Linked DNA regions of Struthio camelus. The protein of the gene in region 2 interacts with the protein of the main gene of each other region in a pairwise test. Links are inferred from orthologs where the notes say so. Each region holds a gene or a part of one and is shown on either strand. Other genes may lie near its edges.

Evidence for each region. The genes of interacting proteins can lie anywhere in the genome.
Region 1: the proteins of INSR (region 2) and MAD2L1 interact in binary tests that used the Homo sapiens proteins (3 or more experiments, as listed by UniProt). The link is inferred for Struthio camelus from reciprocal best matches to the Homo sapiens genes INSR and MAD2L1.
Region 3: the proteins of INSR (region 2) and SH2B1 interact in binary tests that used the Homo sapiens proteins (3 or more experiments, as listed by UniProt). The link is inferred for Struthio camelus from reciprocal best matches to the Homo sapiens genes INSR and SH2B1.

The regions. Positions count from the first base shown.
Region 1 is NC_090945.1:20,325,510-20,335,126, reverse strand, and holds MAD2L1 (mitotic spindle assembly checkpoint protein MAD2A), read right to left. Parts: upstream 4,248-9,617; 5' UTR 4,123-4,247; coding exon 4,047-4,122; intron 3,884-4,046; coding exon 3,737-3,883; intron 3,626-3,736; coding exon 3,505-3,625; intron 2,981-3,504; coding exon 2,877-2,980; intron 2,098-2,876; coding exon 1,925-2,097; 3' UTR 1,242-1,924; downstream 1-1,241. UniProt on the Homo sapiens protein: Component of the spindle-assembly checkpoint that prevents the onset of anaphase until all chromosomes are properly aligned at the metaphase plate.
Region 2 is NC_090967.1:5,518,823-5,528,639, reverse strand, and holds the start of INSR (insulin receptor), read right to left. Parts: upstream 3,811-9,817; 5' UTR 3,740-3,810; coding exon 3,661-3,739; intron 1-3,660. UniProt on the Homo sapiens protein: Receptor tyrosine kinase which mediates the pleiotropic actions of insulin.
Region 3 is NC_090973.1:100,889-110,764, forward strand, and holds the start of SH2B1 (SH2B adapter protein 1), read right to left. Parts: upstream 4,248-9,876; 5' UTR 4,061-4,247; exon of another isoform or gene 3,911-4,060; 5' UTR 3,640-3,910; exon of another isoform or gene 3,401-3,639; intron 3,399-3,400; exon of another isoform or gene 3,297-3,398; intron 2,228-3,296; 5' UTR 2,130-2,227; coding exon 1,266-2,129; intron 1,120-1,265; coding exon 1,018-1,119; intron 919-1,017; coding exon 827-918; intron 614-826; coding exon 507-613; intron 436-506; coding exon 229-435; intron 1-228. Other genes in the region: ATXN2L (ataxin-2-like protein), read left to right, coding at 4,284-4,307, 4,918-5,060, 5,746-5,782, 5,880-5,936, 6,058-6,129, 6,218-6,368, 6,453-6,577, 6,653-6,744 and 11 more. UniProt on the Homo sapiens protein: Adapter protein for several members of the tyrosine kinase receptor family.

The sequences.
Region 1 (9,617 bases), on a different chromosome or scaffold from region 2:
ACACCTGTAGGGTAACTTCTAAATCTTACCCTTTATCTGGTTTCCTAAGAGTAGCTCTACTGCCATCGGAGATGAGAAGGACTCCTTTGTTTTTGATTCTTCCTTGTACAAAAGTGACTGTCCAAGGCAGAGGAAACTTAAGTACTTGTAGGGAAATGAGAATGGCTGTCAATGTGAAGATTGTGGGGCCTGTCAGGCGTTGGCAAATACTACTGGACTTCTTAAAGGCCTGACTTAAGGGAGGCTGTTTTAAATTGACTGTTAAACTTTTTTTTTTTGGTCTCGTGTTCTGCAGGGTCTTTGTGAAAACTTTAGGATTTATGAGCTGTTCCTTGTCAAATGTAGTTTTCATGGACATCTGGCTCTGTGCTATGAAATATTACAACCCTCTCCTGACTGTTGCTGGCTTTTTACTAAAGTGTGTTATGGTGGCCTATGTTGAGGAAGAAGAAAAGGTGCATTTGGTGCAACAAAGAGGTGACTTGAACTTTCTGGAGCAAGCCCATTTCTGTGTGTCAACAAAACACATTTTTTAGATGCTTTACTACAGTTTTGTATCCGCCACCTCCTGCCCCTAACTTTGGCAACAAGCATGGGTTGTCATGTATTGTTTTAAACTTCTTTGGCAGTTTATTTGCATTGTTACTGCTTTGATCCAGTTCTCCTTAAGTGCTTGAAACTGCACTTGCTGATGAAGTGCACTTCTCAGGTATACGCAGGTATTACAGTCACCTGCTTACAATTATTTTCTCTTCCTGTCAGCAAAATAGTACTCGCTGTATTCCTCAGTTACTGCAGCACAAGCACTGGTGGGGAAAAATATAACAGCATTTCTGGAAGTACATGAATCATACTTATTTTAGAAGCCATGATTCTGTGCTGTTAACTTAGCCCAACCTGAAAGACATCCTTTAGTATGTCAAGACTGCTGGAGATCAACTGTTCTCCAGTAGGAAAGCCCATCAACTCTACAGCCATGTTATAGAATATATAAGATCAGTGATTTTTAAATAAATTTAAAAAAACTTTTGAAAGACTCTTACGTTGTATGACTTATGACCTGGGCCAATAAATGCAACTCTCTAGGTTCTGGAACAATGCCATCTGTTGTTATAAACTATTTATACTTTAAATGAGTTTGCTGCTATAAAAGTGAATATTAAGAAGTACCTACTATGATCTGGAGTATATAGACCATCTAACATATGGAGCAACAAACTTTGAAATAAAGAACACTTGAAAACTGGCACAACTTTATTCTGTAAAGACACAAATACGAACATAGATATTTGACAGACACTGAAGAAATAGGTACACACCAATCTGGAACAAGATCCTCAAAAACTACATAGTCGAGAAGAGTCATTAATATACATGACTTTGCACATTTGATTTTTCTGATAAACAGCTGCTTTCAATGGTTAGGAGGTACAAGTAACTTTTATACATAGAATTTTTCTGTTGATTAGTTTTAGGATTGTTTATAGTAACAACAACCTAGACTTTTACCATGAAAAGCTGGTATGCTAAGAGCAGGGTTTTTAAATACCAAAAGAGAGACTTGAAGAGTGCTAATGGAACTCTATATTTTAATCTTAAGATCCTGTAACTTAAGCTCTTAAGACCGTTCCAGCAACTGATCCTGCCTTTAGGCAGCGTCTCTAGCTGATTCAGCATAGCCTAACACACCATTGACTGTTAAGCATAAGTAGTTTCTAACGATAGTTAAATCCTGTATATACCTCCTGAAAAGGATGACGGTTTAGACTAGTGTGACATCACAGTATCTGTAATCATAGAAGAATGCTTTGTCTTCTTTCTGTATTACACTTAGTCTCAGCCACAGTAACAGGATTCTGTTGATTACTTAGTTTGTTCACAGTGCAGCTCCACAAGACAGGATACCGATGACAAAAAGTACATCTTAAGGAAATGAATCCTTCTTGTAAGCTACCATACTATTCACTTTGTGGATTGTGGTAGTGAAGGAGCGAAGACGAACCTCTTCTGAATTGGCTATGAACTGTGGCCCTGACTCTTCCCACTTTTCTGGCACTGCCAAGTCTTTATCTGTGTAAATCAGCAAGTCAAAGGCACCTATAAGCAGAGGGGAAAAGTTAATAGTAAAACATGCGTAAAACTCAGCTTGTTTGAAGATTAAGTGCCTCTTCTAGAAGATGAGACTTTAGTAGAAGTTTAAGGTATTACGGTGATGCTAGTTATGTGAAGGAAGCATGTTTAAAAATGGAAAGTCCTGGCTACAATCAGATTAGTAGACAGTTTTCTATTTAAACAAAGGTTTGAATTTAACATCTCTTCAAAAAAAAATACTGGGTTAAAGCAGCTGAGTTCTTCATAGTAGTTGCTTCAGATAGATTCTGTGCTTTGTGTTCATAAAAGTCTATTCACAGCTGTTGTCATACAGAATTATATAGAGTACCAAGTATACTTGCTGGTTTCATTAAGCCAGTTAAACCACCTTGAGTTCTGTCGTTTTGACAAAAGAAGTTTTATAAGTGTTTCAGGGCAGAACGTACCACTAGTCCCTTCAAATGAAGTTGCTTTAAGTTCTTCAATGAGAACAGCATTTACCTTAATGATTTTTACTGTTTGTTGTAGAATAAGCAGTACGGAATAATTCTTTAAGATGAAATACTTGATTTGACATACCTTTTCAGTTTTATGCACAGTTGCAGGAGATGTGATCTGTTTAACAAACTTCAATCTCATGTCAGATATGGTACAGTGTGTGACATTTCATGTCATAATAAAAAAAACTAAGAAGGTAAACAAAAAGGTTTTCTAAAATAGAAAAGTTGTGCAGGTTTTTTCTGCAAGAAGTGCTTGATTTCTGTAGTGAAGTCAGGAATACTCACAGGCAGTTTCCAACAAAGGCAGGAAAGTTACTGTAGCAGTTATTTGTCTGATAACAGATCGAATTTCATCCTGAATAGCTTTCTGAGATTTTTCTCGGGGTACACTAGAAGAAGAAAAAAAGCTTTGTTAGGGAAGGAGTCTTCTGCCACACTAGCAGCTTTCATTAAATACAGTGTTATATTATGCTGCCATTGGTTTGTTTGCTATATGGCTAGCTTTGCGTAGCAAGGACATTCATTTCCGTCTTAGGTAAACAGGCTTAGAAAATTCTGTGAAGCTTCACAGTACTTGTAAGGAAAGCCAGATGCTGTTATCTTCAGTGTGGAGTGAATGAGAAAGTATTTTGGCAGAACAATAGGAAAGCAAAACTAGCTCTCTAAGGGCATGCAATTTTATGTTTTGTTGAAGATTAAAAAAAAAATCACATTTTTTATCTGATACTGTTTTTACAGCACACAAGGATTATGTATGCTGCAGTACTACAACAACTGCTTTAGAGAGGAACAAAAGGAATAGCAGCAGGCTAGGTAATAGGTTTGAAGAGAAATCTTCCCTACTCATATTGGGAAGGGCAATCTTGGTTGCACTGTGTTTCCAGAGCAGGCGCAGAGGAACACGGGTACTCACCTCTCATCCTTTGCAGCTTTATCACACTCTATGTCAAACTGCCACCTCTCAAGAACCTCGTTGTTTTCGATACTTGAGATTACCACCACCAGCCGTTGCACAATGCACTTGTACAACCACTCTGAAAGAAGCCACAGCAGTTACTCACAGCATGAGCAAGAGGATAGGCAGAAATCCAGCAAGGAGGCCTGAGCAGCCTTTTGCCCCGGCACCCCCCGCCCTCCACCAGCACCTTTCATCTGCTCCACCACGTTGTTGAGGTAGTTCTTCAGCTCGGGGTCGGTGGTGACCAGGAGGGTGAGCCCGTACTTCTGGACGCGGGTGAAGGTCTCGGGCGGGTAGATGCCCCGCTGGTAGAGGATGCTGTTGATCCCGTAGGCTGCAACACACGGCGGGAGGTCGGGGCAGGGTGAGGCAGGGGGTGGGGGGGGAAGAGGGGGAACGGGGCCAGGCCGCCCCGACCGCCATGGCGGCCCGAAGGCCGGCGGGGAGCAGCCCCCTGCGCCCCCCCGCACGCCCGCGCCCCCCCCGCAGCCGCTTACAGAAGAACTCGGCGACGATCTCGGCGCTGCCCCGCAGGGTGATGCCCTGCTGCTCCCGGCCGAGCTGCTTGGCCATCGCGGCCCCGGGCCCAACCGCCTCCTCCCCGCCGCCCGGTTTGAAATCAAGCCCCGCCCTTGCCCCAACGCCTCTTCCTCTGTCGTCAGCCCGCTCTGGCGCACGCGCGCTAGCCAGGCCGCGCCGGCCCCGCCCCTCCGCGCACGTGCGCCGGCCGTTGGGCTGCCGTTGGCGCTAGTGGGCGTGCGCGCGGCGGGGCGGGGCGGGCAGCCGTTAGGGGGTGGGCGGCTCGCGCCGCGTTCGGGGCCGGTTGTGAGGTGGTTGGGCGGCTGCATCTGCCTTCGCCTCTGGGAGCGGGGGTACGTGCGCCGCCTGCCTGGCCAGAGCGCGTCTCTTGGTGGGGAAGCGGGGTTGCTTTTCCGTGACCAGCCGAATGAAAACGGTGATTGGGCGCAGGTGGGGCAGCTACCTGGGGGGGAGGGGGGGAAAAAAAAAAGTTAAATGTGCCTTTGCCACGGGTGTGTGGGCTGAGGGAGGCACAGCCTGCGGGCGGAGCGTGGCTTTTCACAGAAGCGTGCTTGGAAGTTCAGTGTCAAGAATTCAGGTGCGTTTGCCTGTATGAAGGCACTTTTGAACACAGAAACGATATTCTGTTCTGCGATTCTCGCCGGTAAACCAAGCTGTAGCGTGAATGAAGTGAAGCAGGTATCTAATTGCTTCTGGACGATTTTTATGCAAGCGTTGTCAGAAGACAGGCAGGAAGAACCTAAGTAAGGGGAACAAAAAAAGGCGATTTCTCTGTAAGTCCATAGGATAATGGGAAACGCACAAAGTAAGCACTTAAAAATAAGCACTTAGAAAGATAGGGGACCCACAAAGTCATCTCTCTGGACATACAACCCCCCCCCCCCCCATCAGACTATCTCGTAGGGAAATTGCCAGTTAGTCAAAGCACTTAAATCCTGTTATTACAGGGACAGCAAGGAAGAAAACCCTGCAGCTAGTCGTGATTATCGCAGGGAGGAAACACTGCCACAGGTTAACAGGTAAGAGAGACGAAGTGAAACAGCAAGTACATCTTAAGTGTTGGGATATTTAAATAGTATCTCGAAGAGAAGAAGCCATAGTTTACTGGGATAATAGCTAGGTGGCCAGTAATGAGCCAACTGATACATCAACAGCCAAGGAAGCACTAAGTGAAAGGTGAATGCATATGTTAGGCACAGAAGAGCTGCAAATAAAATGCTTCCCTGAATTTTATTTTTCTGAAATGTCTGAAAAGAATACATGTCATTATGTACAACATACCTATTTTAGATGCCCTTGTTAGCCTTGAAAGAATCTAATCAGAGCAGCCTTAAAATAAAATGACAAAAGTAAAGGTAAAATATTTTAAACACAGAATAAAAACTGTATGATCATTACACAGTGCAGTGGCCAACTGCTAAAAGAGTGACTTGATAATGAGATTGCTTATTTTGCTGTAGTAAAATGCTTCTCAAAAAAACTAAATCAGCAAAGAATTTTTGTTGGAACTAAATTTTGCACTACGAAGTACCATTTGCTTCAAGGTTCATGCTGCTGAGATTAAAGCAAATAGTATGGTCTGGAAACCATGTGTTGAACTTCTGAAAGTGTCTAAATAATCTTGTAGTTATCCTAGAGAACTTTATAATGGGTCATGATCACTGATGATTGTGTTATGCATTAGTTTTCTGAAAAAAATGTTTTCTGATTGAGTGTGGTATACTTCAAATTCTATGTTATGAAAGCACTGTTAATCTTGAAACTGGATTGCTGTGAATATCAGCTATTTTCTTTTAAACCTTTAAGTGCTATCATGCTTTTCTTCCTCTGTCCCAAAATGGTATCAGGACTGTTGTTTTCCCACGTGGCTTTTCATCTGTTTTGTTTTCTCTGAGGGTTTTGGAGGGCTGCTCATTTTTTTGAAAAAAAGGGCTTGAAAGTGCTGTTGCATGAGGCCAGGCAAGTGTATTAGAGCTTATGATCATGATTTACACATTTATCCTTCAGCTGGTTTAAAACAGTTAAAATGGAAGAAAAAGAAAAAAACAAATGCCTCTGGAAGCAAAATTCAGCTAAGTATAGCTCTAGTAGATTCCTAAGAGTCTTCCGGAGCAATAATGAATTCATTTACCACAGATTCATTTCACTGTATTTCAGCTGGATGGTTTGAAGATCTGTTGTTGATACGACTGTCCTGATATGTTTGTCAACAGCAGACTTAAATTGCATCTTACGTATTTCTCTCAACATTCGTTTGGGAGGTAATGAGAGACAGGAGTGATCCCTGATACCTCTGTTAAAGTTCTAAGCTGCATTCGGTGAACCTGGCACGTGATATTTCACAGTGTTTTGCAACGCTTCTTTATTCCTGATTCTCTATTTCTCTATTGCAGTTTACAGTGGCTTGCATCTCGTGATGTGCTCCCCTACCCCCAAAAGCCCCTTTGCTTTGTGCAGTTCGCATTTCTCTGTCTCTTTAGAGGAATGCATTCCCCTTTTACAGTACTTGTCACTGTTTTGCTTTAAATTTCTCCTATATACGGAAATGTAATCTAATGATAAAAACTATGTGTGTTTAATACTGCTGAATTTCTTTTGTAATGCAAAGATCCTAACATTTCTCTTTGTTTTTTAGCAGGTATTATTTTTCAGTGGCCAATTCATTAGTTCTGAAAAGTGCAATCTTTTTAGTCCATGAAGTAGCATCTTTCTTTTTCTTACTCCTTGTGTTTCTTTTGTTAGAATGTTCTTCTTCACATTTTTTTTCTTTCTCGTGTCATCCAGATGTTCCTGTCCTTTCCCCCCCTCACCCCAATAATTCACTTGCATGAAGGTTTAGTTATTTGACAGTGTGTGTTTGTTGTTTTTCCTTCAAGTTCTCCCATTATCTCATCTTTGTTTCCCCATTACAAGTCCCAAGCTTCACAACACCTGACTTCATTTTCTTCACTTTGTTTAGGTCACTGTCACTCAGCTTTTCTGCCAGGTCAAGCCAATATCCCCTAATAGAGGCACTCCAGGAGCTTGCACTCATCTGTCATGTAATTAGATCTGCAGCCATCACTTGACCATAGCCCGATGGCCCCATCAGAGCACTGTTGTATGATGGGGACCCATGTACATAAAGTCCTTTTGTCATGTTACTGAATGGGCATGCTCCGTGCAATGATTATGCCTATAGGATGTGTTTAGGGCATGTCCAGCTACATGACGAATGGCAGGCTATGGGGCTCTAAAGGAGAGCAGCAGGGAGACTGCTGTGGGTTAGTGAATGATTTGTGTGGCTGACAGCCTGCTTCCTGACCAGCTCTGAGGGACTCTCAGGAATGAAGATGACAAGCTGAGTTATATGTTTTGGCACATCATGAGTTGGCTATCCTTGCTTTAATTATCTCACGCTGAAATCTTAATTTTCATAAGGAATGTGAAGTCCCAGTTGTATTGAATTTAGTTCTCTTATGATTCTTCAGTCATTACTCTCCTTCTCAATTACAGCTTCATGTTCTGACAGATTTTTTTTGTTTTTAATTCATGTTGTGGAAGGAAACGTCCCCTGTTTAGCTTGGCTTTTTTGTAACACTTAACAATTGCTTTCCCATGGCAATTGTCAATGAATCTGTTACCGTCCAAATCACTGGTACTGCTTCACTTTTTTCAAGGTAACTGAGGTCATGCTCCCATAGTCGTTTGGTGATAAAGCTTTGAGTTGTTGAGATGTGTGTTTCTTTCTTTTTTTTTTTTTTTTTAAACCTCAGGATAACAGTGACAGGCCCCTCCTTTCAGTGTAGTAAAACAGACTGTAAAATGAAAGTTTTCTTTGCTACGAAAGTCATCTTATCACATTAACGAGGTGCCATGTTAAGCCTCAGTAAATTCAGTTTTTCCTGAGCAGAGAAAGGAGGTTTTACCCTGGCTAAGAGAGCCCTAGTGCTTATCCTTTTCTAGTAGATCTCAATCTCTTTAGAGCCATTTCTTCCTGCACTTGAAGGAGGAGATCCTTTACTTAGGAGCCCATAGAAATAGCTCACCCTTTTGCCTTCTTCCCTCCTATTTTTTCTGTGTCCCTTTGATTCTCCTTAGGGTTTTAGAGTGCTGCCCATTGCTGTAGTTGGCAGCTCTCAAAATTCATGGCAGGTGTTGAGCTCCTTCTTGTTCTGTAGGTTAGACTTTTTGCTCCCTTCCTTCCTCAGCCCAGCTTGCAGTATTTGTTGGTCACATGCCCAATGCTGTCTTTTCCCCTCAGTGAGCTGAGACAGTTCTCAGTCGACTGAGCTTCCATTTTCTTGGTGAAATTGCTGTTTGGTTCTTTGTGCTGTAGGAGGGAGTGTTTGTTTGGGTGGTTCCCAGGAGAAGCTTTTCTTGGACACAGGGTAGGCCACCAGTACAGCCAAACACCACCACTATTCCCATATGTACAAGATATTTTTAAATCTTCTAAATCTTTAAATCACTTCTGCCATGTGTGAGATTTTTTGCTCCCTTCCATTGTGTCTTCACAGCTTTCATCCAGGATTTCTTTGGTGATTTATTGTTATCTGGAATTAACTGTAAAATTAATGTAAAACACTGCACTTTTTGACAGGCATTTTATTACCAGGCTCATTTTGTTTCCATTCTTTTTTTTTTATTTTATTTTGTTTTGTTGATCAGGTTTGTTTTTAATGACTGTCTTTGTAGCATTAAACTTTACAGGATAAGTACAGGTGCTTTGCTATCAACTGTCACAATAACTATAGCATTTTTTGTCAAGCTCTTTATTTTTAAAGCATAAGCCATGAGATATTAATATAAGTAACAATACTGTATTCCTTCACCAACAGTTTTACATCTGTATAGCTGAACTATGTCATCAAAAATAAGTATGATAATGGGAGTAATGAGGGAGTAAGAAGGAGCTTTAATTAACCAGAGAGATTTGTTTCTGTCAGACAGACTCTGTTATCTTCCTTCTATGATGTTTTTTCAGTACTGAAGGGGTGGTGCGACTGGGGAAGATTGTATTGAATGTTAAATATTCATTAAAAAGAAATTGACTTTGCAATGAGTCAGTATGTGCTAATATGCGGCACTAGAACCTCAAATATGATGAACAGACTTCTCGAAGGAACTGCCTCGTTTTGGTTTTGAACGCTGTATAACACATTTTAAAATTACTTTTCACTTTAAATGTTACTTGCAGTACTGAGTGTGTTTTGAAATTAGACTTATTCAATGGACTACTTATTTTTCTCCTAGAAAAAAAAAATTATTTCTTCATTTAAGCCAGTGTAATAACACCACTTAGCTTGAAAGGAGCTACAACTAGGTGCTGGCCTTCCTATAGAATGAAAAGAAATTTCTGTGTATTTTGAGACTTTTAAAAGCTACTTCTATGGAATGACGTTCAACTCTTTCTCTTTTTTTTTTTTTTTTTAAATGAGGACCTGACATTTTTCTGAAGTATACTTAGAAAATATGTTTAAGATTTTTGTGATGGCTTTACCGCTAAACTACCAGGAGATGGCATCACGTACATACGTTATCTGCAT
Region 2 (9,817 bases):
GCAGAAGGGACAGTAAGGCAGTTTCCAACCTACTGGAACAATAGTTTAGTAAATAGAAAAATATCTAATTGTGAAAAGTTCATTTTTAAACTTTAATTTTCCACCTCAGCCATCTAGATCCGAGTAAATTCAGATATGCATTTAAAAGCGAGTCTGTTTATAAGCCTCTGGTCTGCCCAGATAACATCTCAGATGGCCGAGATCTTCCCACTAGTCAAGAGATCAGCGCTGAACCGAGGGCAAACCTGTCGTGGAGACTGCTTTCTTTAACGCCAAAAGCATATATAACCTCACCAAGCCTATAAAGCCCCACTGAATTCTGTGCCTTTGCCTCAAACCTAGTTTACTATACCATCCTGCTCTTCCTGTTAAAAATCAAAAAACAGTAATGGAAAAAATAAGATTTCTGCTGCTATGTTTTTCACGCAAAGATAAAAGGCAGTGAAGCGAGAGCATCCCTGGACCACGGGAGATCAGTTAGGGGAGCGTGCAAAGTCAGTACTAACAGACCGTAAGATCCTGCTTACTGCAAAGGGAGCAGGAACAGATTTGATATGTTGCCAATATCAACATGACTCATATTCCACGAGACGGTCATCCCAAAATTGACCTCCAGAAAGCTTATGGGTTTCACAAACTAACGAAGTTACAAACTATGTACAAACTCTTCAGTGACAGTTAACGGACTACCTGTCTCTAGAACATCCAGAGGGCACGCGGGGACAGCCGACAGACAAAACGGTTGCCTAGGTTTGACACAGCCCTGCCCTGTTGCAGTTATTCTTTCTACTTTAAACTCTTGGGAGCAATTTCACTCTAGGCTGAGTCTCTCGTCATTAAAAATTAATAACTAGTTGAGACGGGAAAAGGGCCACAGTTTCTTAAGGAGTTCATGAGCACCAAAAAAAAAAAAAAAGTATGAGACAGGAAGCATAATTTAGAAGTAGATTATTTTAAAAGAACATTACCACAAGAGTAAGAAGTGGAATTTGTCCCAATGTGTCCCTAATTTAGGTACCTACATCTCAGCTAAATGCCTAACTCCCACTGTCATCAATAGTCACCGGAGAACAAGTACAGCGACCAAAGGTAAGCAAATGGTTTAGGAGAGGAGGAATTGCCTCTAAATACCCCCGACTATATTGATTAGGTCTCTACAGCTACAAAAGGAGGCCAAAATAACTTGCTCGATTGGCAGATGCCTAAAACTAGGTGAGGTAAACCCCACTCTAAATATCACAGCTAATGAATGACATGCATGAGTCATAGGTGAGAGTTATTGCATGAAGTTGCATTGTGTTTACACAGCGGTAAAAAACAAAAAAGCCGTTTTTCTCCACAAAGCAAGATATGTGCATCTTCACGTTGCACGCACGTCAGCTCTCATTCTCTTAACCGTGCTCCTGCTCCTCTCAGTAGCTTCTGAACACACCAACTAATTTCAGTCTAACGGGAAAGGAAAGTTTTCGCCTACATCATGTTCCTAAAAGACTCAAGAAAACTAGGGATGGGAAAGGAGGAAAAATTCAACAACTCCATTAAGAAAAAGCTTGAAGGGTGAACTCCAACCACCCATCCAGCTTGTCTACTGTCCCATCTGCACGCACAGCTCAAAACCTTTTGTACTACCTGCTGCTTTTGCCCAGCCTCTTACGGGACACGAGGGGAACTACAGCACGGTCTCGAAGAAGCAAAGGGAGGAAGAAGGCACAGGAAATGCTATGGTTAGAGACCAGGGGAATATTGTCACTGGAGAGTGGCATTATCAGGGTGCATGTTTGTGCAGAACGCAGGACACAAATCTCCAAGAAAGCAGACTTCATTAGTTCCGTTGCTCAGGGAACAACTTGTTTGCTTATGCAACTATTGTACATGCGTTTACCCTTCAAGCCACTCTGATGTAGGCCTTCATGTTAGCGTGCTGTTTTCGATCCGCATTGTAGTCCAGTATGGTCTAACCATTCTCAGAAAAACGGAGTAGAAAATGAAAGCCAAGAAGCTGAAAATCTTTTGAATTAGGGACCTCACATTCCAAACAGTCTGTAAAATACTTCGAAAAGTATTCGCGCTACATGAACAATATAAAAACACTCCATCCCAGGCTTTGCTACAGGCTTTGCCATCTTGTGCATCGCTCCCGTTTCTCCATCGATGAATTGTAAAGCATACTCTCCTACCACACAGTAATGCAGCAAAGATTGGGCAGCTATGATCATAAACATACTTACAACCCAAATAGCAGAACAGGATAAGAGAAGACTGAATGTAGTAGTGGTAGTGTTTTCAAATTCAGAGCCACTGGACTAAAGTTATTTTATAGTTATTTATTATCAATGCTATATGCCAATTATCTTTTACATTTTTCTGCTGGAGATGGGCAGGTTTGTACATGCTTGCCAGCTACAGCTTAACCTCCTAGGTTAAAAACTTATCACTGGTCTTTTTCAAGTCTTCTAACATGAAGGCATACATGAAGAAGAAATTGCATATTTTTTAAATGCATAATTTTGCCAGCTCGCTGGCAAAAAGAAGAAGAAGAAAGGCTGTCTGAAAGGTAGGTCCTGCTTTATTCCCTCACCATTACACACCTCTCAAAAGACTCCACCGTTGCAACGTCCAGGCTCTAGCCTACCTGCCTGCTATTGCCTTTGCCAGTGGGAAAGCTCCCAGGTAGCAGCTATGGGATAGACAACTTCAGTGTCCGGTCCTATTTAAACAAATATTTTCCTTTTACTAAAAAAAAATTAGCAATAATAAAAAAGAACTCTGTGAACGTCCCCCAAAATTCAAAAGAGAAACGTCCAACTAGAACAATTCCTTAGGCAAGTTTATTCAAGAGAACCCATCGGAACAGCTCACAAGGCTAGTCTCAACTCACGTCAGCCACGAAGCTCACAAGCCTGCCACCTCCAACACGCGTTTTTACACCCCTGTTTTGTACTTCGCGAGACTTGGCTTGCGCGCAGATCCCTACCACCAAGCTCCAGCCCCCTCTAATACCTGCGGATTTGAAAGCCTACCTAGGAGTATTTGTGCGGTTAAGGACACAAGCTCCTAAGGCGACGCCTCGGCACGCTAAAAAGGCTTCTGCGAGGAGAGCTCGTTTTGAGAGCAGCCCGAAAGGGGCAGCGGCAGGGGAGCACGGCGGGGGGCGAGACCCCCGCTCCGGGCAGCCCCCCCCCGGGCGCAGACGGCACCATTATCCCCCCCAGCGCCGCATCCGAGACGCGCTTTCAAAGCCCGAGTCAGCCGGAGCCTCCAGAACACGCCGGAGCAGTAACAAACATCACGGCAGAACGGCCAGCCCGGGGAGGGGGCTGGAGCAGCCCCCCGCTCGGCACCTCGGGGCCCACAAGGCAAAGCCGAGGGGTGAAGGTGACCCGAGGCGCCCCCCCCCCCCCCGCGGGCGGCCCCGCAGGCCCCGGCTGGCCGCCACGGCCCCGCGGCGCGGCCTGGCCGCTCCCCGGCCGGTACAAAGGGTAAAACGGCGGCGGGAAGGGTTGGGGGGGGGGGGGGGAAGCGGCAGGGCCGGGCCCGCGGCGCCCGCCCGCTCTCCCTCCCTCCCTCCCTGCCGCCTCACGGCGCCCGGCGCCCCGCCGCGCCACCTGCAGCGCCCCGCCGCCCGCCTAGGCCGCGCCGCCGCCGCCGCCCCCTACTCACTCTCCGCCCGGCTCCGGCCGCAGCAGGCCGCCAGCACCACGGCCACGGCCAGCGCCGCCGCCGCCGCTCTCGGTCCCATGCCCGCGTCGCTGGAGCTGCAGCCGCCGCCGCTGCTCGGCTCGGCGCGTCCCGGCAGGGGCGAATCAGAGGCGGCGGGGCGGGCGCGGGGGCCGGGCCCGGCTCCGGCTCCGCATCGTCGGGAAGAGCCCCGCGCTGCGCTGCGCAGCACCGCCGCCGCCTTTATAGCGCCCGGCCGGCGGCCCCAGGAAGCGGGGCGGCGGGCCCCTCCCTGCCCCGCGGCCCCGGCCCCGGCCGCTCCAGCTCCAGCTCCAGCTCCGGCTCCAGCGCAGGCCGGGCTGGCGGCTGCCTCCGCGGCCAGTAAACAAGGGGCTGCCCCCGTCAGCTGGGAGCGGAGCGGAGCGGGGCGGCGGCAAGAGGCGGCGCGGAGCCGCGCAGCGGACGGGACGGGACGGCGCCATCCACCTGCCGCCGCGCGCGGGCGGCCCTGAGGCGAGGGGCGGCGGCGGCGGCCGGTTCCAGCCGGTTCCGGCCAGGGCCGTTGGCGCCTCCGGCCCCGGCGCCTGCGGGGGGAACCGAAGGCAACAAGCGGCTGCGGTCTTTTGGCCTGCTGTGAAACGCCTCTGCCGCAGCTCGCATCGGGGATAAACGTTTGGGAGCGGCGGCTGCCAGCGGAGACGTTTCGGCCTCGCTGGCATCAAGCGAGGGGAACGTGGGGCAGTCGAGGCTTGCTGAAAGAGCTCGCCGTCCCTGCTGGCCTGAAGCCCGCCTGGAAAGCGGGGCCCTTCTCCCCACACGCTGACGTCTTACTGGCAGCTTTGCATCGCTTTCCCTCTTTCTCCCATTACAGCCTTTGGGGAAGGAGGAATTCGCCCGGAGACTCGCGTTGCAGAGCCCCGGCAGACGGTAGTGCCTGCCGCGTCCTGCTCCTCGTGCTATCCCAGAACCCGGTCCAAATACACGTTCAAAACTTCTGGTTGTCTTTCTCCAGTGGGATCCAGCCTTTGATGGCTTTTTCTCCTTCGTTCCCATCTGCACTTTGTGGCTGAGCGAAGCCATTAACAGGGGATATTACCCAATTGTGTCTAGTTTGGGGTGGTTCACGCTCTGAAATGGGTTGAGGTTTCTCAGGTGGATGGGTTACGGCTGGTGGGTTCTACTAAGTTACTTTAAATAATTTATTTTTTTCAGTTTTTTTTTTTAGTTTAGTATTTAAACACTATTCTTACACAGGTACCAACACAGTTAATAACTTACATCTCAGTAGGTGCATAGTATTTAAGTGTGTAGATGAAAGGTCCTGTTTAACTGGGGACGCTTTCTCTGTGATTATTGTAGCAAGAGCAAACGTGCATCTGCACAGCACGGTAGCTGTTGAGTGAGCCTGCTCGTGTGTCAGCACTGCCATCCCGGGACCTCTTTCCCCACATGCCTGTTCTCGCGCTCAGCTCATTTTCTCAAATGAATGCTTCTACTCCCAAGTGCAGAGGGGACTCAGAACTTATTTCCTGAAGAATTATGACAAAAAGCGATCAGGTCCATAAGGACAACTGAGACATGGAAATACCCAATAAAAGTATGCATTCTGTGTTTGCAGATGAACCTGCCCTAAGACTATTCACTTTGCATACAGCAGATACAGCCAAACATCATCTAGACAGCTTGGGCTATGTGGAATTTATAACGTGTCTGTAATAGCAACCTACTCTTGCTTACTCACTTATGTTCTCATTGCCTTTCAGATAATAATGATATCAGCTTACAGATTGGCACAGAAGGATTAAAGGCTACAGATTTATTATCTTTCACTAAAATACTATTTTTAGTTTCTAATTACTGATTAAGAACATCAGTGTGCAATCTTTCCAGCATCTTTCCCAAACCGTCACTGCTACATATTCATCTTGCTACAGTACACTAAGTTTGCAATCAGATAAACCAACAGTAGCAATGTGGGCTGCACTGTGGGCAGCCAGCACCTGTTTACTCATTTTATTAGCTGCGCTACATGCTCTCTGCTAATTTCTGACTTGAAAAAGTGTCCTGGAGTCATCAGTTTGATGCATTAAATACTACATCCTTCTTCAACAATATTTACACTGCTTTCTCCCTTTATCTTCCATAAATGTTTGATGTTTTATTTGAAACAACTTGTAACTAAGCAGTGATAAGTGTCTGCTATGACCTGTGAGACTTGAGGACTTTTTGGTTCATTTCTGAGCCCTCCTAAGAAAATAAATACAGGGAGCCTTGAAATAGAAGGTATTTACCTATTTGACCCCACAAAATATAAGGCTATTTTATTCTTTTCAAGCAGCTATTTGCTTAAATGAATCATACGTAACAAATGCTAGGAAAGAAAAAGGAACTTTGAGATGATACTCTTTTCTGACATTTAACTTCTTTTTCCTCTTTGTGTCAATAATTTCATACTGGAAAAGCGTACATTTGCAAATGTAACTTTGCAAGACCTCAGGTCAAGGATGTTCTGCTAGGACGCTGCTAGGAGTTGCACGTCCTTGGAAGCCCACCTCAGCCAGTAACATCCCTATAGAAGGAGCCACCTTTGCATGAGTGAGCTGGCATGCATTTTGAGTATGGGAGGTGGCTTTGTAAAATGGGTCAGTCGTCTTGTCCTCCACCTATTGAAAAGGTCAAAACAGGCTGCTTTATCGCTGTATTCACTGTTTTCCCCTGCTTTGAGTTAAAGCTGAGACAGACTGAGCTGATTTCTGTTTCTTTTAGGCACTAATACAATTCCCCACGAAATCTTACCTCCAGGGCCTGCTGTCCACAGCAGTGCAGATGCACTGAACCCAACAGTCTGCACACTGCCATTGGAGCTCAGTCACATCTCTCTATTGACAACTACGTGTGAAGAGAGAACTCAGAATGGCTTCCAGATCTCTGAGGATCTGAGTTTACTCAAAGGTTGCTGTCTTGAAAATGCGATCTCTCTTTTTCTCACGAAACATATACTGGAAACAAACACACAAGCAGAGGTCTGTGCTTGGGGTTTTTTTTAGCCTATTTTATGGCTATACAAAAGAACTTAGAGCACGATACTAACTGGTCCGTCCAGGAAGATTCAAGGAACACAAAGCTTTGCACCCAAAAGGAGCGTTACAGCAGTTAACTTGTTAGAAAGGTACATCAGTAGTGATCCTGTTTTAAGAACAAAATAGCTGAGAAACAGTTCAGTGACCCAAAGCCACATAGCAAGCCAGAAGGGAGAGCTAAGCGCTCAGCATTCCCCCCTTCTGCTTCATTCACTAGAGAACATTGCCCTTTCCTAAGAACAGGTTCCAATTCCCTAGGCGAAAAGCGTTTCCTGGAAAAAGTTAGGGAGGAAAAGGTTCTTGTTGGGATCCCCCTCAGGCTGCCTTATTTTTATTAAGAATTGATTTTTCAAGCCCACTTTCCTGCTCTCAAGTTCTCACCATGCAGCACGTACGTTATTCAGCCTCCTGTCCTTTGAAGATGCAGAAGAGTTGCTGTTGAAGCCAACAATAGCTGAGTGTCTGCATCACTGGCAGGATGTTGCTGTAAAGGTTACAGAATTGACTTCTCAGTGACTAGCCCGAAAGCCAAGTGTACAGGAGAGCTGACCTTGGGAAATTTATCTCATCCTGTTTGCAGTCACACAGAACTATTTGCCAAATCTCCTAATACAAAATATTTCACGTCATGGATTGACAAAGTTCCTTTCTTTCCCTTCCTTCCGTCCACACCAAATCCGCTAAGCGACTACTCTCCTCTCAATGGAAGAAAGCTCGGAGGATGAAGATCCGGTCACTTTACGTGCTAAGGAAAGAAGTCCCAGGTTTTTGCTGTCGAAACAGGAAACCTTGTCAGATCCTTCTGGACAGTTCTATTGTTGCATTAGCAGATACAACTGCTGCTCAAGGTGAAAATGGCAGGGGGCATCTCTCTGCCACATGGAGTCCAGAGAAAGTGGAGATGAAGGATGCAAAGGAAATCACTGCTGTTCATGGCCTACTGCAATGCTGCCTCCTTGTATCTTTAGTTGTTGTTCGGTTTCTGGTTTTGTCCAGTTTACGTTTTTGGATGTCACTGAGGGGAATGCAATATTCAACTTAATTTCCATTCCTTATCAAGACATTCATGTTCTAATTCAGTATCACCCTCTGCAGCTCAGGATGTTACTAGATTTTTTGTGATTGCTACAAGACCCACACGACAATCAACGCTCCCAACCTGTGTCAGCGAGCAGGGCTCAGCTGGGAGACAGCCAGACACAGCTTCACACTAAGATAGGCAAATACACATCCATAGTACAACTGCCTTCAGACCCCTCCAGCCTCCTCATCCACTGCCCCCTCCACTGTTCTTTCCTACAGCTTCTCACAACCCACTTAAACAAACCCCGTATCTGGTTTGCACAACCTACTCCACTGCTGCCAGGCATGCTGTTCTCTATCAACAGCCATGGGCAAGCCAGCGGCTGCAGCAGCAGTCACACTCCGTACGTAGCACGGGCATGCCATGCCCCAGGCCGCCAACTGGCTACACCAGTTCTCATCTACGGTACACCTTTTATTTACTAATGCACGCTTTTGCTGATCCAGAATCTACTTTGGAGGGACAACCTTCCGGGCAGCACAGCAGAGTTCAGCAAACCGTAACTGCATGCGCCACACTGCTTTATCTCAGTTTTTGCAATTTGGGCAACACAGAACTTTTAGTTACCATTCTGATAACCAGTTTGTTCTGTAGCTAGGAGACACACCCAAGTGCTTTGTAAATGTTACAAGTCAGGCATATCTAATCCATTATTCACTAACTGCTGCTGCTTCCCACTTCATCTCCTACTAGGAGGTAGTGTTCATGACAGAAATGTCACAGTGGTCTCATGTGACAGGTGGTGTTGATTTAGCTACGTCAGTTTTTAATGTCACTCCTGTTCAGTGGGAACACACGGTGTGAGCAGAACAAGCCTCAGCAACGTGGTAGATCCTGATCACAAGAACAATGAGCCAATCTTGCACTGAGCTGTAGGGCTCTGAAACAGTAGCAACATGCTACTGTAGAGCAAGACATTTGATTATTGTTTTCTGCTCCTCTCTGCTATGTTATCATGGTTGAAATAGATTTTGTAAGATGTTATTGGCACTTTTTTCATGCTTAAGACTAGTAGTTAGTTATAAGATGTTGATTTCTGAGGTATCATTTCAGTTTTATAGCAGAGGTAAAGAGAATGGAAGTGACTTGCCCAGTATCACACAGGGAGCAAAGATTCAGAACAGAACCTTGGCCGTCACTCCATCTTTTTCATTCTTTTACAAAGATACCCAGTTGGCATAACAGCTACCAGTTTTGGAAGGCTGCTCACAGCCTATTAAGTCTAATACACAGTAGCTTTGTTAGATAAAGCCAAGGAAACATATGCCCAAAACAAGCCTAAATATTCATTACCCAGCCACAGGAAGCATTGCATACAATGTTTTGCTCCCCCTATTCATGCACTCACAGCCTATATACTCTAAAAATCCTAAATCAAATCTAGCTGTGTTTTGAGGATACAGCTCAAAAATTAAATCTCGTATATAGAGTCTGCCGCCAAGAACGTTTGGCGGAAAAGCTTAGACTGATCCATAGTTTCTGTTGCTGCCAGGCTCAAAAACTGCTGCTTTCGCTGACCTGACATGACCCAAGTCTCCAAAAGATTTTTTTTTTTTTGTTACTTACTGTCTGAAAGTAGGTAGCCTGCCAAGAAGCCAACCAAGGCCCAACCCTACGCCTGATAAACATCTCTCCACTTGGATTTCCCAAGCTTTTGGGAAAGTTAAGCAATTCTCACTTCACAGTGTTTGCAACTTCCAGAAAACCATTTCTGTATATAACACTATTCTGTAAAGAGAAACATATCAGAGCACGATGTTATTAAATGGAGTTGCAGGCTAAACTAGCAGATCATCCAACCACCACCTATACATTAGTCAAAAATAAAAGCTGCCACTCCATCTATGAAATGTCACAAAGTCTTGCCTGATTGTTTATTCTAAAATACTACCGGCAGAGAGCTTCAAAGTGTTCTTGAATTACTACAACTACTAAATGAACGCAAGGAAAGCAAAGATTGCAACTGCCAATTGACAAAAGAGTCATTGTGTGCAGA
Region 3 (9,876 bases), on a different chromosome or scaffold from region 2:
CCCCAGCGCCAACCCCGACATCCCAAATCCTTCGCCAGACCCCCAGTGCCAACCCCGACATCCCAAATCCTTCGCCAGACCCCCAGTGCCAACCCCGATGCCCCAAACCCTCCCCAAGACCCCCAGCACTGACCCCGACACCCCAAACCCTCCCCAGACCCCCAGCACCAACCCCGACACCCCAAACCCTCCCCGAGACCCCCAGCGCGGTGCCCCGTCCCCCCGCACCTGCGCCGTCGGGGGTGTCGGGGAAGGGGGTGTGCAGCAGCCCGGGGGGGAAGGGGGCCTGGAGCCGCTCGGCCGCCTCCTCGATGGGGATCCGGGGGGGCAGCTCCGGCGGCAGCATCTCCATGGAGTCGAAGTGGGAGGCGGCGATGGAGACGGAGCTGGGCGACACGGAGGCCGAGGGGCGCTCGGAGAGCCCGCCGTAGGCGCCTGGGGGCGGCGGGGAGGCCGTCAGAGCCGGCCGGGGGCGCCGGGCCGGGGCGCAGGGCGCCGGGACTCACCCTGCGCCAGGTGCTCGCTGCTCTCGCCGGGCAGCAGGGGCAGCTCCCGGCTGGGCACGCTCTCCGAGTGGTTCAGGCACGGGGCGGCCGGGCTCTCCGCCTCCTCCCTGCGGGACACGGGCCGGAGGGGGGGACGAGCGCTCGTGGCCCCGTCCCCGGGGCGAGGGGACAGGGTTGGGGGGGGGGGACCCGCGCCAGCGCTGCCGAGGGCGGGGAGGGGGCAGCAGAGGGAAGAGAGGCGAGTGCGGGCGAAAGGGGCCGCCGGGATGGGGGGCAAAGGAGGCGGCCCGGGGCGCGGAGGGGGGGCACGCGGGGCTCACCCCGGGCTCATGCAGTCCTGGATGTCGGCCAGCCACGACTTCATCTGCAGCGAGTCGACCGTCTCCAGGATGTACTCGAGCGAGTTCTCCATCTGGCGGAGCGCGAGGAGGAGGAGGAGGAAGGGGGGGGGTCAGCGCTTGCTGCCACCGCGGCCCCCCTCGCCTCACCCCCCCCCCGCCGCCACCGGCACCTTCAGGACGAACGTGTTCTCCTTGTCGGGCATCTCCAGCGGCGTGGTGGTGCGCACGGCCGTCACCGCCGAGCACAGGATGCTGACGCGAGCCTTGGTGGCCTGTTGGGGACGGGGCGAGGTGACGGGGGACGCCAGGGGCTCCGGTTCCCCTCGCCTCCGCGTCCCCGAGCCCTTCCCCGTCGCTCCTCGGGGACGGCGGAGAGCGGATCCCGGCGCTGCCCCCCTCCGCCGCCGCCCGAGCCCACCTTCGGCGGGACGTAAAACTCCAGGGCGTAGCCGTCCCCGTCGCCTTTCCCGGCCTTCCTGAGCAGCAGGCGGCACCGCTGCCAGCGGGCACGGCCCCCCGCGCCCGCCCCGGGCCCGCCGTCGTCCGCCACGATGAAGTTGAGCAGGCCCTCGCGCCGGACGCTGCAGGGCTCGGCCCGGGCGCCGGGGGCTCGGCCGAGGCGCAGGCGCTCCAAGCGCTGGGCCCAGCGCTCGCCGGCGGCCGGGGCGGCATCGCCGGCGCCGCCGGACGAGTTGGAGTTGGTGTTGGCGCCGGCGGCGGGCGGCTCGCGGCCGGCGGCCGGCGGCTCGGCCGCGCCGCGCCACTGCAGGATGCCGCGGACGCTGCGGCCCACGCTGCGCAGGGAGAAGCGCTTGCGCAGCTTGGCCTTGGAGCCGGCGGCGGCGGCGGCCACGTCCTCGGAGCTGCGCGACTGGCCCCCCGGCAGCCCCGGGGCGGCGACGGCGGCGGCGGCGGGCTCCAGCGGCGAGGCCACCGACGACTCGCTGCAGGTCTCCGAGACGTCCCGGGGGCGGTGGGCGCCCGTGAAGGGGGCGATGGCGCAGCGGGGCGGCGAGGCGTCCCCGCCGGCGCAGGCTCGCGTCACCTCGGCCTCGAAGTGCTCCACGAAGTGCTCGGCGAAGCGGCGGGAGAAGGCGGCTTCGGCCCCCGGCGCCCCGAACTGCGGGTTGTCGCTGACGAAGGCCCGGAAGCGGCGGGCGAAGTCCCGGGCGGCCGCGCGAGCGTGGGTCTCGCAGAAGTCCCGCCAGCCCGGGGGAGCCGGCGGGCAGGGCGGGGGCGTCCCCCCCCCGCCGCCGCCGCCGGCCCCCGCGCTGCCGTTCATGCCGCCGGCGGCCCCGGGGGGCCCGGGCGCCCCCGCGTCCCGCGGCCCCAACGCGCTGCGGACGCCGCTGCTGCCCCGGCGGCCGCGCTCGTCCTCACCTGCGGAGACAGAGACGGGGCGGTCGGCCCGGGACCGCCGGAGCTTCCTCCTCCTCCTCCTCCTCCCGCTGGCACCGCTCCGGGCTCTCCGGGAGCCGTTCCCGGCCTCCCAAAGTCCCTCAATCTCCCCCCCAGAGCCCTCATCCTCTACCCAGCACCCCATAAGGATGGCCCTGACCCCCTGGAGCCCCCGGATCTGCCCCCCAGACCCTTCATCCTCCATCCAGGACCCCGCAGGACCACCCCGATCCTCTATGCTCTGCCCAGGACCCCATAAGGACGTCCCTGACTCCCCAAATCTGCCCCCCAGACCCTTCCTGTCCTTTCGTGACCCTGCAGGGCAGCTCTTGGCCCCGCACAAATCCCCACATCTACCCCACAGGCCCCTCTGGGACCCACACAGCCATCTCAGACCCCCCCCAGACCCCACATCTGCCCCACAGGCCTCTCACAGACCCCCTACAGCCATCTCAGACCCCCCACAGACCCCACATCTGCCCCACAGGCCCCTTGGGGACCCCACACAGCCACCCCTGGCCCCCCACAGACCCCACATCTGCCCCACAGGCCTCTCACAGACCCCCTACAGCCATCTCAGACCCCCCACAGACCCCACATCTGCCCCACAGGCCCCTCGGGGATCCCATACAGCCACCCCTGGCCCCCACAGCCCCCACATCTGCCCCCCCAGGCCCCTCGGGGACCCCACACAGCCATCTCAGACCCCCCACAGACCGCACATCTGCCCCACAGGCCTCTCTGGGACCCCACACAGCCACTCTCAGCCCCCCACAAACCCCACATCTTCCCCGCAGGCCCCTCGGGGACCCCCCACAGCCCCCACATCTGCCCCCCCAGGCCCCCCGGGACCCCCCACAGTCATCTCAGACCCCCCCCAGACCCCACATCTTCCCCGCAGGCCCCTCGGGGACCCCCCACAGCCCCCACATCTGCCCCTCAGGCCCCCCCGGGACCCCCCACAGCCACCCCCGGCCCCCCGGCTCGGCCCCCCAGACCCCTCTGGGTCCCCCGCAGGGCCGCCCCCGGCCCCCCCGGCCCCGGTGCTGACCATGGCGGCCCCGCCCCGCCCCGGCTCCGCGTCGCTGGTCCCGAGTGCGAACGGGGCGGGGGGGAGGGGCGGGGGCGGCCCGACCCAACCTCCCCCCCACACACCCGGCGGCTTCCGCTTCCGGGTCTCGCCGCTCTTCCGCTTCCGCCTCCCGAGGTGGCGCGGGGGGGTCGGAGCGCCCCCAAGTGACCGTGGGGAGGGGGCAGCACTGACCGGAGCGGCCGCCCCGGGAGCATCGAGGTGGGGCAAGTCGGTGCAGAGCGTCCCCCCTCCTTCTTCGCCGGAGCGTAGAGAGGGCGAGGAGACCAGAGCGCCCCCTCCCCCCCCTCCCCCGGCTGCTCACCATAGAGACGGGATGGCGGCGCCTCTTGCTCCCGCTGATCATAGAGCAGAAGGCTGAGGGTAACTAGAGCGGCTCTAGGAGAACCATAAAGCTGAGAAGACGGAGGCAGGCAGAGGGCCCCCAGAGAGCCATAGAGAGCCAGTTCGGCTTCTTCCACGCCTAGACTGTCTCAGCCGCCCGCTGCCACCATAGAGAGGCGAGGCTATCGAGCCCCCGCTCCGTACTAACGTAAACACCATAGAGCCAGCGCGTGGAGGACTAGAGCGTCGCCCTGCGTGAGACGTAAACTCTAGCGCGGAGCGGCGGGCGGGGCCAGAGCGCCCCCCCCACCCCGAGCGCTGGGGGTCGCCATGGAGACCCCGGTCACCCCACCGCGCGGGGGGGGACGACGACATACAACACCCTCTCTTCCCGCCGGTACCTGAGAGGCGACAGTCGCCGGGGGGGGAAAGGGGGGGCGGCGGGGTTGAGGCAGGAGCCGGGACTCGTTCCCGCGCCCCCCCCCCGCTGTGATGCGGCCGGCGGAGGGATCTCACTGGAGGCGCCCGTGTCCTCACGTGCCCCTCCGCCCCCCCCAACCCGGCCGCGAGGAGAGGCGACGCACTGCGCATGCGCCCCACCCCCCCACCCCCTTCGGCGCGCGCATGCGCGGCCGCCGGATTTTGCGGGTTGGGGGGGAAGGCAGGCGGGTAGCCTCGGCCGCGCATGCGCAGCGCGGAGGGGGCGGGAGCGGCGCCCTTTGTGGCGGCGGCGCGCATGCGCGGCGGGAGGGGAGGGGGGACTACTTTTTTTTTTTTTTTTTTTTCCCTGCCGGCGGAGGAAACGCGCGTGGAGCGAAGCCGGTGCTGGAAGGGGGGGGGGCGTTTCCTCCGCCGTCACGTGAGCAAAAAGCGAAAGAGGCCGGGGAAGGGTTATTATTAAAAAAAAAGAAAAAGAGGGAAAAGCCGGCGCGGCGCGCATGCGCGGTGTCTCCCCGCCCATTGTGCGGAGGGACACAGGGCGCGAGGGGAGGCGCGCGCGCTGCGGCCGCCGGCGCCCCGGCCCCCCCTCCCCTCCCCTCCCCTCCCCGGTCGGCTCCGCCGCGCCCGGCTCCGCGCGCGCCGCCGCCGCCGCCACCCGCCGCCGCCACCCGCCGCCGCCGCCCCGCGCGCGCCCCCGGGCGGGGGGGGAGGGAGACGCCGCGCCGCCGCCGCCGCCGCCGCCATGTTGAAGCAGCCGCAGCCGCTGCCCCCGCAGCCCCCCGCCGCCGCCGCGGCGCCGCCGCCCGCCGCCCGCAAGGCCCCGCCGCCGCCGCCGCCGCCTCCCCCCGCCGCCGCCGCCGCCGCCGCCAGCCCTAACGGCAGCCTCAGCCCCGGCGGCGGAGCGGCCCGCGGCGGCGCGGCGGGGGGGGGGGGAGGCGCCGGAGGAAGCGGCGGCACCAGGTAACATCCGGGTCCTGCCGGGCCGGGAAAGGGGGGGGTTGGAGGGGGGGGTTGGAGGGGTTGGGAGGGGGGAAAGGAGGGAGCCCGGCGCTGATTGGCCGGCGGCGCGGCCAATCAGGGCGGGGGGAAGGGGCACGTGGGGGGGTGGACGCCCCCGCCCCCCCCCCCCCGCCGCGGCCTCCCCCAAGGGGGTGGAAGGGGCCCAGGTGTCCGGTGGGCCACAAGTGCCAGTGTGCCCCCCCCCCATCAGGGGGACCAGGGACCCAGGTGTCCGGGCCCCCCCCCATCAGGGGGACCCCGGTGTCCGGGCCCCCCCCATCAGGGAGACCAGGGACCCAGGTGTCCGGGCCCCCCCCCATCAGGGAGACCAAGGACCCAGGTGTCCAGGACTCCCCCCCCATCAGTGGCACCCAGGTATCCAGACCCCCCCATCAGTGGGACCAGGGGCCTAGCTGTCTGCCCCCCCCATCAGAGGGACCCAGGTGTCCGGGCCCCCCCATCAGTGGGACCCAGGTGTCCGGGCCCCCCCATCACTGGGACCAGGGACCCAGGTGTCCGGGCCCCCCCATCACTGGGACCAGGGACCCAAGTGTCCGGGCTCCGCCCGCGCCGCGGTCCCGGAGGCTGCACCCCCCCGGCCCCACTGGGCTGCGGGGACCCGGCACATCCCTCATTTGCGTTTCAGGGGCCAGAGCACGGGGAAGGGGCCCCCCCAGGCGCCGGTAAGTGACCAGCGAGCTCGGGGCGGGGGGGGGCGGCGGCGGCGCGGGGGCCGCTGGTTTGGGGGAGCCCCTCACCCCTCCGCCCCCCTCCCCGCAGGTCTTCGAGGGCGTCTACAACAACTCCCGCATGCTGCACTTCCTGACGGCCGTGGTGGTGAGTCCGCGGGGCGGCTCCGGCGCTGGGGGGGGCGGTCCCGGCGCTGGGGGGGGCAGCTGCGGTGCTGGGGGGCGCCCGGGCCGGGCCGCGGTCCATCGCCTCCCCCTCTCCCGCCCAGGGCTCCACCTGCGACGTCAAGGTGAAGAACGGCAGCACCTTCGAGGGCATCTTCAAGACGCTGAGCTCCAAGGTGAGTGCGGGCAGCGGCGGCCCCGGCCTCGGGCTGACGCCCCCGGCCCCGCCGTGACGCCCGCCCGTCCGTCCGTCCGTCCCCGCAGTTCGAGCTGGCGGTGGACGCCGTGCACCGGCGCAACCCCGACCAGCCCTCCGGCCCCAAGCGCGAGGACATCGTGGACACCATGGTCTTCAAACCCGCCGACGTCATGCTGGTGCACTTCCGCAACGTGGACTTCAACTACGCCACGAAAGGTGCGCGGGGAGGGGGCGGTAGAGCCGCGTTGGGGGGGGGGGGGGGCGGGCGACGGCCAGGCCTCACCCCCGCCCCCCCTGCAGACAAGTTCACCGACTCGGCCATCGCCATGAACTCGAAGGTGAACGGGGAGCACAAGGAGAAGGTGCTGCAGCGCTGGGAGGGGGGCGACAGCAACAGCGACGACTACGACCTGGATTCGGACATGGTGAGGGGCCGGGGCGGGGGCCGGGGCGGGGGCGGCGAGCGGCGCGGGCGGCCTCTGAGCCCTCTCCTCCCGCAGTCCAACGGCTGGGACCCCAACGAGATGTTCAAGTTCAACGAGGAGACCTACGGCGTGAAGACCACCTACGACAGCAGCCTCTCCTCCTACACGTGAGCGCGCCGGCAGGGCCGGGGCGGGGGGAGCAGGGGGTCCGGCCGCCGCCGCGGGGAGCCCCTGGCCGGGCTGACGCCGCGCGGGCCCCCCCCCGCAGGGTGCCGCTGGAGAAGGACAACTCGGAGGAGTTTCGGCAGCGGGAGGCCCGGGCGGCCCAGCTGGCGCGGGAGATCGAGTCGAGCCCGCAGTACCGGCTCCGCATCGCCATGGAGAACGACGACGGGCGCACGGAGGAGGAGAAGCACAGCTCGGTGCAGCGCCAGGGCTCCGGCCGCGACAGCCCCAGCCTGGCCGCCGCCAGGTCGGCCCCCCCGGCCCCTCCGAGCGCCCCCCGGCCCCTCCGAGCGCCCCCAGCCCCTCTGAGCGCCCCTCGCCTCTCTCCGCAGGGAGAGCAAGTACAACCCGCTGCCGCAGCGCGTGCGGGACGGGTCGCGCGGCGGCGTGCGCTGCGGCTCCTCCCGCGGCGGGCGGCCCGGGGTGGGCTCCCTCCCGCCTCGGGGCGCCCCCCACCACGCCGAACCCGGCCCGGAGCAACGCGGCATCAACGGAGGTGAGAGCGGGACGCGGGGCCGGCGCCGGGGCGGGCCGGGGGCTCGGCCGCCCCCCCCTCCTCACCCCGCTGCGCCCCCGCCAGGGCCGTCCCGCATGTCTCCGAAGTCGCAGCGCCCCATCCGGGGAGCCAAGACGGCGTCGTCTCCGGGCGGGCGCCCCGCCGAGGCCTCCCCGGCGCCGCCGGCAGGTGGGGAAGGGCCGGGGGGGCGGCGGTGGCGGCGGGGGGGCAACCGCCAGCTCCCCCCCCCCGCTCACCCCCGCCCCTCTCCCGGCAGCAGGGCGCATGTACCCGCCGCGCTCCCCCAAGGCGGCCGTGCCCGCCCCGGCCTCCCCCCAGGACCCGCCGGCAGCCGGGCCCGCCGCCCCGGGGGAGGCGCGGACGGCGCTGGAGCCTGCGGCACCCCCCAACCCGCCGTCCCCCAAGGCCGCGGCCCCCCCGGCCGACGGCAAGGACCGCGGCGGTGCCCCCCCTTTTGCGCCCCCCGCCAAGGAGGCACCGGCGGCCAAGGACGCCGGCCGAGCCCTGGAGGCCCCGGGACCCCCGGAGCCCCCCAAGGCGCCCGGCAAAGGTGAGCGGCCCCGGGCCGGGGTGGGGTGGGGGGCAGCTGCCGGGGCGGCCCCCCCACCTCACCCCGCGCTCTCCCCGCAGCCGGGCTGCAGACGGAGCAGCAGCGGAGCCAGCTGGAGGAGCTGCGCAAGTTCGGCGCCCAGTTCAAGGTGAGGCCGCGGGGAGGAGGAGGGGGGCGGCCGCGGGGCGGCCGTGGGGCTCACGCTGCCCTCCGCCCGCAGCTCCAGCCCAGCAGCGCCCCGGACGCCGGCCTGGAGCCCTTCCCGCCTCGGGCCAAGGAGCCGCCCGAGGGCAAAGGGAAGGAGAAGGGCGCCGAGGCGGCGGGCGGCAAGGCCCCCGAGGACGGCCCCGGCCCCAAGGGCGCCGCGGAGCCGCCGCCGGACGGCGGGAAGGAGGAGAAGGCGGGCGAGGGCGGCCCCGAGCGGCCCCCGGGCACCCCCCCGGGCAAGGGCGAGGGCGACGACAAGGAGGAGGGACCCGTCTCGGAGTGAGTGCTGGGCGGTGGCGCGGAGGGGCGGGGGGCGCCGGGGGGGTGGGGAGGGCCGCGGCTCACTGCTTGCCCCCTCCTCTTCCTCCGTCGCAGGCAGGTGAAGAAGTCGACGCTGAACCCCAACGCCAAGGAGTTCAACCCCTCCAAGACGCTGCTGGCGGTGGTGAGCGGCGGCGGGGGCGGCCGGGGGGGGCCGGGGGGAGGCGCGGGGCGGCCCCGCTCACCCCGCGCTCTCCCCGCAGAACAAGGCCGCCAGCACGCCCACCTCGCCGGGGCCGCGCACCCACTCCACCCCCTCCATCCCGGTGCTCGCCGCCGGGCAGAGCGGCATGTACAGCCCCCAGTACATCTCCTACATACCTCAGATCCACATGAGCCCCGCCGTGCAGGTGAGCCGGGGGGCGGCGGCGAGCCGGGGGGGCGGGGGGGACCCAGGCGTCCGGGCCGCCCCCCTGAGCTCTCCCTCCCCGCAGGCGCCCCAGATGTACCCCTACCCCGTCTCCAACTCGGTGCCCGGCCAACAGGGGAAGTACCGGGGGGCCAAAGGTGAGCGAACGCTGCCCCTGCCCGCCCGTGGCGCCGGCCCCACGTCGCCCGTGGGGCCGGGGCCGCCCTGAGCCTCCGTCCGTGTGTGTCCTCCCCCCAGCAGGGTCGCTCCCCCCGCAGCGCACGGACCAGCACCAGCCGGCATCGGCGCCCCCCATCATGCAGGCGGCGGCGGCGGCGGGGCCTCCGCTGGTGGCGGCCACCCCGTACTCCTCCTACATCTCCTACAACCCCCAGCAGTTCACGGGGCAGCCTGCCATGATGCAGCCCATGGCTCACTACCCCTCGCAGGTACAGGCGGACGGGGAGGGGAGCGGGTTGGAGATGCGGGACAGACGAGGGCGCGTGCGTGTGTGAGACAGGCAGGGAAGAGGGGCTGTGGCAGCGGGTGATACAGACAAGGGTGGTGTGCTACAGGCAAGCACATTGTCAACACACAGAACACAGTACAGGCGGAGGGGTGTGGTACAGCTGGATGGGGATGGGGTTGTGGCACAAAGAGGAGAGAAGTGACTCAGCACTGTACCTGGATGACGTGGCTGGATCCGAGCGATACAACCAGACGAGGCTACAGGCAGACGAGCCAGGTGCAGCAAAACGCTACAGGCAATCACAGGGTGTCAGGCAGGTGAAGAAAGATGCCCTAAAGCTAAGCTGGAGTTATGTGGATAGGAATGCAACAGTCGGACAAGGGGGAACATAGTACAGTCCACCAGAGAGACTTGCGACACAGACAGCACGCGACAAGGATCGACAAGGAGAGCGGGAACAGGGAAGAACGTGGTACAGATGGGTGACACAATAGAAGTGAAGAAAGATGCAGTACAGCAAATGGGGGAGGCGCTACACCTGGCCAGGGCTGAGCACCCCCGGCCCAGCGCGTGGTCTCTCCTCCTCCGTAGCCGGTCTTCGCCCCGATGCTCCAGAGCAACCCCCGGATGATGGCGTCGGGCAGCCACCCCCAGGCCATCG